3 linked regions of the Kluyveromyces lactis genome follow. The protein of the gene in region 3 interacts with the protein of the main gene of each other region in a pairwise test. Links are inferred from orthologs where the notes say so. Each region holds a gene or a part of one and is shown on either strand. Other genes may lie near its edges. The genes, in order: UTP4, UTP9 and UTP5.

Evidence for each region.
Region 1: the proteins of UTP5 (region 3) and UTP4 interact in binary tests that used the Saccharomyces cerevisiae proteins (3 or more experiments, as listed by UniProt). The link is inferred for Kluyveromyces lactis from reciprocal best matches to the Saccharomyces cerevisiae genes UTP5 and UTP4.
Region 2: the proteins of UTP5 (region 3) and UTP9 interact in binary tests that used the Saccharomyces cerevisiae proteins (3 or more experiments, as listed by UniProt). The link is inferred for Kluyveromyces lactis from reciprocal best matches to the Saccharomyces cerevisiae genes UTP5 and UTP9.

The regions. Positions count from the first base shown.
Region 1 is NC_006040.1:1,131,776-1,135,535, forward strand, and holds UTP4 (small subunit rRNA maturation protein UTP4), read right to left. Parts: upstream 2,503-3,760; coding exon 292-2,502; downstream 1-291. Other genes in the region: KLLA0_D13200g (uncharacterized protein), read left to right, coding at 1-209; condensin subunit YCG1, read left to right, coding at 2,742-3,760. UniProt on the Saccharomyces cerevisiae protein: Involved in nucleolar processing of pre-18S ribosomal RNA. Required for optimal pre-ribosomal RNA transcription by RNA polymerase I together with a subset of U3 proteins required for transcription (t-UTPs).
Region 2 is NC_006038.1:376,615-380,213, forward strand, and holds UTP9 (Utp9p), read right to left. Parts: upstream 2,185-3,599; coding exon 565-2,184; downstream 1-564. Other genes in the region: XPT1 (xanthine phosphoribosyltransferase), read right to left, coding at 1-131; NMD5 (Nmd5p), read right to left, coding at 2,491-3,599. UniProt on the Saccharomyces cerevisiae protein: Involved in nucleolar processing of pre-18S ribosomal RNA. Required for optimal pre-ribosomal RNA transcription by RNA polymerase I together with a subset of U3 proteins required for transcription (t-UTPs).
Region 3 is NC_006039.1:579,291-582,899, reverse strand, and holds UTP5 (Utp5p), read right to left. Parts: upstream 2,552-3,609; coding exon 656-2,551; downstream 1-655. UniProt on the Saccharomyces cerevisiae protein: Involved in nucleolar processing of pre-18S ribosomal RNA. Required for optimal pre-ribosomal RNA transcription by RNA polymerase I together with a subset of U3 proteins required for transcription (t-UTPs).

The sequences.
Region 1 (3,760 bases), on a different chromosome or scaffold from region 3:
AGTTGACAGGTGTGTACATCCTTGCCACTATCTTGATGATTCGCTCCAATTTACCATATGATGTCTCAAAACAGGTCAATCAACTCTTGGGTGAGAAATTCACTATTCCTGATGTTGTAATCGACGTCTGGTCTGATAAAATGTTCGCTTGCAGTTCGCTCTTGACATTCATTGGTATTAAGGTAGCAGAAAGAACACTACACAGATGATATGCGGCGGAATGATGACCCTATGTTAAAAATCAATTTCGCGATGAAGATCGAGTTTATAATAATGTACAGAAATTATAAATTAGAATACTAACTTTTCTAATTCAAATGCAGGAGGTTGGGAGATCAAGAAGTTTGGTCTTTCCACAATGATTAATTGGTCACTTGCGATCTTTCCAGCGAATAATAGAGGTCTATACTTATCGGTATAGAAAAACGCCTTATCAGATCTCTTCTTGGAGGTGACATCTTGCGCTCTCTGAGTTTTTAAGAGATAATCTTCCTTAACTTCGAGTTCTTCATCGTCTTCATCATCCTCATCGACGTCTGCCTGTAGACCGTCAGTGGAAATAGTTAATCCGTCACGGTCACGCTTCTTTTGCTTCTTTCTTTTGCTAACTGGCAAGTCTAATGACATGTTGATGTTAACCAACCAGTTAGATCCCCAGAACCATACCTTATGCTCATCCATTTCATCTAAGAATATTCCTGTGCATCTCTCTTTCAAGGAAGTAAATTGCCTTGGGAGGTTTTCATGATTGGCTTTGAACCAGTCAGTGAGTAGTTGATCCTTCTCGGATTCCAAATTGAACTCGTATATTTTATTTTCTGATGTCACTACTACTACAGTCTCTCTTGGTGTGATGCACAGTGCAGTGATGAAGTTGTTCATGCGAATTAAAGCTTTACTACTGTTTGTTGTCAAATCTATTAAGTCTAGAGCACCGGTACCTCTAGACGCAACAGCGTAACGTTCATTTGCATCTAAATGGTTCACTGCATTCAAATATGATAGTTTATTGCTGGATTTCGTTGAGTTCGCTTCAGGTAACTCAATAGTTACGGTTTTTTCGTCGTCATCCTCTTCAAGGTCAATTCTAACTATTTCATCAGATTGTGAACACATTATTAACCTAGAATCATCAATGAACTTAGCAAATTTGCAACCAGTTCTCAACAAAAACTCATTGTCCAACTTTGTTACTTTCAATTTGTTGTCTGTTGGTTGTAAATGGAAAACTTTGGTAGTATTTAGTCTTCCCACTAATAAAACTTGTCCGTCAGTTGATAGTGCACAGGTTTGGATGTTTTGTTCATCCTTCAAAACCAATTTACTAACTAATTTGTAGTTCTTAGGCTCATTGACGTCTTCGCCAATATACCATATCTTCACGATATTATCCTGCCACATCACCAATAGTCTTTGTTGTTTGTTGACCAGGATGCTCTTATGGAATGGGGTAACTAGTGGCATCTTTCTATAATTTCCTTCAGCGAAAGAGGACATTGAGCACATGACAAGAGACTTTTCAATACCACCAGACACTAGGAAGTCGGATCCCATACATTGATAAGAGGACATAGATCTAACATCATTGGAATGGAATAATCTGTTTGAAGTACTGATCCATTTCATGCTCTTTCCTGTATCGATGTAAGAGAATTGGAAAATCTTTCTATCAACACCACTAGTGAACAATTGTGAATTATCCAGATCAGTAGCCAGACATAGAACATCGGCATCATGAACCTTGAAAGATTGAGTCAATGTTGCGTAGTTTAAGTCCCAGAATTTGACCGACCCAGTAGAATCACCAGACACAATTTGGTTCTGTTTAGCTAGATACAACACAGACCATACGAGTGTAGATTCTTTCTTCGATTTATCCACTTTCATAGTATGTAATAGTCTTCCCTTGTTTTCGTCTTGCTCCTTAGTATACCATATTCTAATCCTTCCATCAGAACAACCAGCGACCAAAGATTCATCATTGGCTGTCCATGTCAACGATAAGACACGAGATTCTTGCCTTGTAAGTATGCTCTCATGCTCAAGAACACCTTTACCACCACTGATGTTAATAAGTACTACACTGCCGTTATCACATCCGACCGCTAGCTTATTCATATCGTTGCTCATTGCAATGGACCAAATCACACCAGAGTTACAATCGTAATTTACTAACGGCAACCCGGTTGTCAAATCCCATTCTGTAACTACAGTGGAGCCACCGATCGAAAATAGTCTCAAAGGCTCTCCACGAATACTGCACCAGGAAAGACCTTCAATGGATCTTCCTTCACCTCCCAAGATCACGAACTCTTGTACCCAATCATCTCTTGGATTCCAGATCTCAATATTACCATTGGATCTACCAATAGCCAGTCTTAGCTCTTGCGGTGCCGCTTTATCAGTACTTTTGTGTGAAAATGCAAGAGCCGTTATATTACCAGGTGTAAACTGCACAAACCTGGATCGATGCACTACCTGTTTCTTCCCAGTATCAGTCATGATCAAATGTGTTCTATAAATTGAGGACCTTAAACCTGTATCAGAGAACAAAAGCTAATGTATTAGAATGAAACAAAAGATTGACAAACTGTAGGCTGATGTCAATCAAAAAACTTCACTGACTAGATAGAAATATACGACTTTGTTATCCGATGAGATGAGCTTCTGTTCTAAGCTTGTGTGCTCTTAACGCTGAAATTTTTCAAAAAGAAACTAGTTTAGCTTCAACACCGTACAGTATGATCATATCACGTGATATATTAGATCTATTGGGAAAACGAGATTTGTTTACAATTGGATCTTCTCTTCACATAAACAAACTAATAAACAAAGAGGAAAAGGAAAGTGGAAGAAACATCGGCGGCAACCTCATAGCAGCCTTTCCCTGGTGTATACTCGTGGTATTATTGACCAAAAGGGTGCAATTGTTTGATATGGATGTTCAGGATGGAGAATCTCCTACAAATCGTCGTGTTCTGAATTCTATAGCGGAGGTTTTCCAGGTGGCGCAGAAGAGTTATGCTGGTCACAGACGTCATGTAGCTGTCTTATACAGGATTTATTTGAAATGTGTGGAGCAAGAGATATCAGATGTGTTTCATTATTGGTTTATCAAAATGACTGTCAAAATCTTGCCGCTGAAGAAACAGGAAATCGTGGGGGATCGCATTGTTCGGTTGATTTCAGGGTTCATCGCAAATATAGAGTCGAATCTTAACAAGATGAGAACCGAAGATGGTAATGAGCAAAATGTGAGGAATTTGGAAGTACATTTCGGAGGATTTATTGATGGATTTGTGAGGAATCTGCTTCGAGGAGTGGAATCGAAAAATAAAAACGTACGATACAGAGTAATGCAACTTTTGGCCGCAACTATGGATAATATGGGAGAAATTGATGAGGAATTGTACGAGTTGATTATGTGGGTTTTGAAGCATAGGGTGTATGACAAGGAACCTCATGTTAGGATACAGGCGATATTTTGTTTGACAAAATTTCAAAACGATAACGTATCGATGATTAATGAATCAGAAACCGGAGTAAATTTCCAACTCGATGAAGCTACACAGAGTTTAATGCATATCATTAGGAATGATCCAAGTCCAGAAGTTCGGAGGGCAGCAATGTTGAATATTGTACGTTCGAAAGCGACCCAGAATGTTATCTTGGAACGGGTACGAGATGTTAATTTCATCAATAGAAGATTGGTGTTTACAAGAGTACTAAAGAGTTTGGGGAAGCATACGTTCGATGAGGT
Region 2 (3,599 bases), on a different chromosome or scaffold from region 3:
ATAGCAATGATTACATCTGGTCTTTCACCTTTATTCATGATAGTTTTCGCTACATCTTGGCAAAGCTTATGAATATTATTGTACGAAATGTACATCTTGCTAGTATCAGCTCCAGAATCTTCCTGAGACATCTTTAAATTTCAGATAGGCTATCGACAATTTGGGTGGTTCGTATAGCGCTTGTCACTAACTATATTAGCGAAATGCAATGATACGAATACGCGAGGTGATAACTCAATGGTAATTCGGCTGAAGATGAGATACCAGTTCTTAAAAAGATGCGATGAGCTTTAAAACTTTTCGAAAAAAAAAAAAAGAAATCTTGTTATCTGAGATCAGCAAAGATTCCCATGTGATGAGATAAGCTACAACACAGCCAGTTGTAGCATAAGGATTTAGAACGTTATTCGCATAGGAATAGTGTAAATAGCGGCTCTAATAAGCGAGGGGAAAGTAAAGGTATTTGTATTTCCGCAATTCTTTGATGGTTTTTCTGGATGGAATTAGGATCTATATATGCGGTACTAGTTATAATGAAATACGTAGTATTGGTATCAACGGTTATTATTCGGAAGCGTCATTCAAATCATCAGCTTCTCCATTTTCATATACGAATTCTTGTTCGTCTTCCTGTTCTCTGTCTTGTATTTCATTAACGTCTTTGCCATTGATTTGCATGGATGCTAATTGTTTTCTCAAGAAAGATTGTCCGGAAAGCATTTCTAATTTACCTTGAATGGAAAGGAGAGTTGAGAGAGACTCCGAGCTGGTCCTTAAGGACGACCTTAGGCGTTTTGTCATTTTGTTTGTGTTTGAATTGATAACCTTGATTTGAGATCTACGAAGAGTTAATAGCCATTTGAGCCATACAGAGGCTTGGCCTGCTGAATCAACATTTGCTGATATATGTTGCGCAAGCACTTCAAACAACTTATTAGTACTGTCTTCGTTAAGATCATCTCTGACAAATAATTGGATGTTATTATCCGACCATGGTTGTTGTAAAAGAATTTCAAGAATTAATTCAGAATTCATATTGGCTTCTCCGAGAGCAGTGATTAGCTTCTGTACAGTTTCATTTTGTTCCTTTTTTGAAATTTTTCTATCAGATTCAGGTTCATCCTTGGCGACGATCTCGTCAGGGACCAGAGAAGCTTGTTTCTCGGTATCAACTAAATTGAACGCGAATTCATTTTGTTCATGCAGTTGAGATTCAGATATTACTTCGAACTTAGGCTCATTCACATCGATCCATGCTAGTACAATGTTATCATCTTTGATCTCAAAATCTAAAATTTCAGAGTTCTCGACTTTTATGCTTGCAAGCGGTTCTTCTGCATCTTTCAGTAAAACCTTCATTCTACCTGCAGTGTCCAATACTACGATATTATCATTAATTACTTTCACCTTCTCGGATTCAACATCCCATTGGCATAGTATTTTTTTCTCTGGTAAAGAGTAGAGGGAGACTTTTGATACATCGGCAATTACGACATGGTCTTGATCATATACTGTACATGAAATTGATCCGAAATTTTCAATCTTGCTGAACGTTGAAGGCCTTTTCTTAGATGGATCTACAAGATAAACGAACTCTTCTGTGATGACCGCCAGAAGTAGTTTTTGTGGGAAACTTAATACCTGGAAGTTGATGATATCTTCATTCTTACCATCCGTTAGATGGAACGTTTGTAACGGCTTTGTTGTAGCATAGTTGAACCTTTTCACAGTTTTATCGTCATCTAACAACCATATAACATCATCTTTCGAATCAATGCCTAGAATTTCTTTCTTGTTCTGTATGATATTAATGATCTCTTTACCATTAGCTGAATGCACAACAATCTTTCCACTAGGGAATACATTTATAAAATATTGCTCTAATGGAGAGTTCGCTATCTCTTCATCGGCTCTTCTTTTCACACTTCTCGTTTTACAGTTGTTCTCCGCGGAAGAATGGTTGCTACACCAGGTCAAAAGGTTCACTTCAGAGACTACTAAGTCATTGCTCTCATAATCAATTTGAAGAACCTGAGAACTGTTTATATGTAAGTTGCTCACGTCTTCTAGTGGATATAAGTCAATGGAGTTCTTTTGGGACCTATTGGATTGAAATGCGAAAAATGTTGCTCCTGGAGAGAAACTAGTAATGTAATCACCAGCTGAGTAACTAGATTCAACCATTCTATAAACTGGTTCAATATTTCTGTCGCTTCGCCTCAGAAGTTGCCGGTACTAATGGTAAAGTTACCTTTTGATCACATCGAACTCTTTACCTTCAATCTAGCTAGGCTATTAAGTGATGAGATGGATGGAAATTTTTCAGTAACGCCAGAAAAAGAAAAACTCTTACCCGGCTACAGGTAAATAGCAGCTGCTCGAATGGTCAGCACGTGAACTATTATGTCGGCGATGCAAAAGTAGATAAAGCTATATGTATATACATTCGAAATTAATACAACATTTGAATGACTGACAAGTCATTTCACCTTATGTTGTGTGCAAAGTTCTGAGAAAAGCTTGTTGGTCTTCTGAAGACATGCTACCAATGAAGTTTTGATACTTCTCTGGTTCAGTCTGCTCCAATCTTGAGAAAGTGTGTTGGAAAAGTTCATAGATGTTGACGTCATCGAGGATGGATCCAGATAATGGGTCTTCTTCAAGTTCATCCATATCATCTTGGTCAAGGAACTGGCCCGATTCATGGATTAGTTGTAGGCTTCCGGCTTCATTCTTCAAGAATTTTAGATATTCTTCAGCATCGCCAGCAGCATCTTCATCATCGTCTTCGAAGTCATTCCACTCATCGTTAAATCCATCAAACTTACTGAATGCATCACTTGAGAATTCTTGACGTTTATCCTGTAAGACCTTCAGTGCTGCAGGGAACTTGTTGAATAAATCATTCAACATTGGCCCCAATTTCAGATACACGGCCTCGATGTGTAACGAGACATACTCTTGCATGGGTACAAGTGTTAGAAGAGATAAGGTAGCCATGATCGACAACTTAATGTCAATGACTCTAGTAAACTTTGGGAGATAGAACTGGATCCAAATTTCAAGGAAAGTCGTAAGAAGCTGTTTGTGGTTTAGAAAGTTCAATGATTGTGATGGATAGTATACCATAGATGCTAGTATAACGTTGAATGCATTGACACCATAATTTAGATGAGTTTTCAAACTGTTTTTTTCCACTTCTATCGCTTCAGTTGTAGTAGTTAAAAATGTACTCAAAAATTGTTCTGGGATTTTGTCTCCGAATGCCAAAATCATCTTTTGTGCAAATTCAAACACGACGCACATTTCGTCTAGATCCTTGTCCTCGTTTTCATTTGCAGTAGCAGCTTGGAATATTTCAAATAGTATATTAGTGTAAAAAAGGTTTTGCTTCAATTCGTCCTTACCGTAAATTAAATAGTTAGAAATTGCCATCATAAAATCTTCCAAGTAGAAAGAAACCATACTGCCCTCTTTCCTATTGCAATCACCAATCAACTCTAACACTTTCCAAGAAATCGAAGAAACTTTACGCAGTAGAAATGTAGAATTCTCAACAAATTCACACACTTCACGGTAGAAATCTTCCATATCATTCT
Region 3 (3,609 bases):
ATTAATAGAAAAACTCTCCTGCTCTGTGCCTGCAGCAAAAAAGCTATGAGATACTTTAACTTGGGTAACCTGTGGTTGCCACTTCTTTAAATAAGTATATCAAAGATTTACTGATCAAAGAACACTCAACGAATGTTCAAATGGAAGATGAGCCGAAAGAATACACGACACATTTATACTTTATCTGTCAAAGATATAAAAAAAAACAAAACGAAACGATAGATACTGATCCCATGGACAAGATCAACTCCCGTACCGCGAGACGAACCTACGTGCTTGCAACCAGTAGAGAAATTCTAAAATTGTTTACGAGAACGGGATTTCCGAGCCGGATAGACCGTCTACCAAAAATGCACGTTCTAAACCAACACAGAACACCTCATTAAACGCTTCTACATTTTCCATGTTCCACGCTTTAAATTTTTAACTTGTTTGGTTCTGGATTAAATTGAATTCTGAGAGCATCACTAGCAAACAATTGTTTTTTTTAATTAGATTATTTACAGACAGAGTCAAACTCCGATGTTTCCATTACCCGGCCATAATGATCAATCAAGCTTAAAGCTGCATGGAGGAAGAATGTCAGGTCTAAGTCGATACATAGCAGCTGCATTTTTCAATGCGTTAGCGTTTTATATTTTTTCTTTTATGTACGCTAATGCTGAACTTCTTCGTCAGAGTATCCTTCTTCAACGTCGACCCTCATTTCGTCATCGTCGTCAAATCCTTCTTCAGTGTATGTAAGTTCCTGATTATCAGCCTCGCTGTGTTCGTCATCATCTTCAGAGTACTCTGCACTGTCTTCACCATCGTCTATTAATCCAGCATCGTCTAGCTCTTCTATATATTCCACTTCTTCCTCTTCATCTTCATTTTGGTTCGACTCGTCATCCTGATATGGAGCGACAAGTTCAGAATCAAGTTGATCCTTGCCGTATTGTACGGCTCTCTTACTGTTCAATTCATCTAATGAACGTGTAATACGTGTATCCAATGCCATGAGTGTTGGTAAGAGATCTGCTCGTTTCCTCAAAGTAGCATGTAGCGATGACAATGAATTTATCAAATTTGGAATGGTAACTAAGTAACCCCCGTGAATTATTAGGCACCATTTCACCCACACGTTCAAAGCACCTTGTCTATGAGTTTGTCTGGCGATACGTTCAGCGAGTCTTTCCAAGAGAATCGTAGCAAGTTGGGGGGATAACCTGGTTATGGTTGCTTGAATGACTTTTTCGTCGCGTGTGTTAAGGACTGTTTCCAATAGAGCATGATCATTTGATTTTAATGCTTGAGCTAATACAACAGAAGAAGTACCAGCGTTGGCTCTTCTCCTTTCCTTTGGTTTTCTCGATGGTGGTGAAATTATATTTAGTCTATCCTGTAAAGTTTCTGAAATCCCTTCTCCTTCTATATCATCTAAACTTTGGACAATGGATTCCACATGCTTAAAGTTATCACCAGATGTTACCGTTGCATTACCCTCTTTGTAGAGCTTTGCCGAAGAAATATCACTGTTTTGGTTGTTCCTGGTTTGTGTAGATTTAGCAGATGGCAATGGCTTGGATAAAGTGGTGACTGAATCCGTTAGGTTACCTAATTGAACTTGATCAAAGTAAGGTGTGGTTGCATTTTCTAACCACGAAAAATTAATTAGATCTTTGTTGATAAAACTTTTGATAATAGGCAATCTGGTTGCGGAATTAGACCTTAATAAAGTTATAGTTTTGTTTTTTTGTTTGGATATCTTACCAGAACGTCTCTTATTCCCTGAATTGATTGATACCAAAGGTTCTTCAAAGATAGCAATATCCCCATCTTCTGTTGTTGCCGACACGTGAGACCAATCCTCAGATATCGAAATTGATATAACGTTCGAGTCCGCTACTAGGACGGACTTAGTCTTGGTAGTGTCCAAATCATAAATATTCAAAAATCTATCGTCCTGAGATGCACTCAAAAATGCTGTTCCATCTGTGGTCACTTGAAGGAAAGACACAGGTGAAATATGGCCAGGGTATTGTAACAACAATTTCTTTGAAATGACATCGATTAAGTAAATTTGATGAGAAGCGACAAGAATACGATTGCTATCAACTATGCATAGCTTTTTTAAGTCCTTACATTCATCAATTTTGAATTTTTTTGATACATTCTGTGATACCATGTCGAATAAAAAAATAGTATCATCACCAGTCAAACACCAGGCCTTGTCCTTGCTTGAAAAGAGTTGGAAATCTAAAACTGCTAAGCTTGATCCTGTGTTCAGTTTCGCCACTATTTCATTCGATAAAGGAGAGTATAGCCATATTTCCCCTAGGTTTAGACCCAGAACTACCAATGGTGTGTCATTGTAAGTAATCCATTGTATGCATGTACAGCAGACGTCTTTCCCCTCCAAATAGAGAAAATTATCGTTCACTAAACCAGATTTGGAGGCAGTTGTTGGCTCCACTGATACCCGCTGTTTATCCAAAGCGGTGGAAACGTATGCAAAATATTGTCCGGTTGGATCATATTGTGATAATACGACTGGCGAAGCTGTTGCCATCGTTAAGCTTGCTATTGTTATTCGTGTGGTAGAGTGTAGACCTCTAGCTTAAACAGTACGAAAGCCGGTGATTGTTCAATTAATATCCCAAGACGTTTTATCGAAACACTTTAGGAAAGAAGTAAGTACACAAAAGTAAATACTGTGCGATGAGCTCAGATGAGATGCGATGAGATGAGCTATGAAAAGTTTCAAATGAAAAGCTTTAGCTTGGAAAGGAGAAAGAAAAGTGAGATTTACTTACAAAAAACAAGTGCCGGGTAATAAGAAGTTAGCATATATTGTTCACGTGATTTGGAGCATATAGCCAGTGGTCCCCAATTTAAGGCTTTTCTTCAGGATACATCCACTGAGCTGAGTTCGTTAACTCAGCTTTTGCAATCTTATTTTACAACCTCCAAACATTGCCTTCCTGCTTTCAAGTTATACACTTCATATCTCCTAACAAACACTAGTTAGCATTTCTACTGTGATGAGAGGAAGCTGGGTGATTAACACAACATAAAGAATTTACGTCAAGTAAGGAAAGAGCTCCTGCCTAACAACCAAGGTCAACACTTATATGTCTCTGTCCTGTTGCTAATTTGAATATACATCTATATATATATATTTTCCAATCAGAATTCCCTTATTGTCCCTTGTTTGCATAGGTGATGCGATGTGTGCGATGTGTGTTGTTGTTTTAATTTTTTTTTTTTTATTTTCAACTTTTCTTCTTAGTTTGATTCGTAGTTTTATATATAAAGCATCAAAAAATGTGCCAATTTGGCGAGCCATATCATTTTTTTGCATAGTGAATGAAATAGCGATGAGTATTTTTTTAGTATATATTATTATACATAATTCAGATCTAGAGTTCAAGGAGGACAAAAAAGTGTAATACCAGGCATTTAAAAACAAAAGTTGACATTGTTAAATTTGTTTACAATCTGTTATCATCTCAAGTTCATCCAATTATCTAATTGATTACTACGTGAAGTGCTTGTTTGGTATATTGACTTGCAGCACAGAATTAAGTTCGAGAGTATTATAGTTTTTTCAGGGAAGCTTGCAAAACC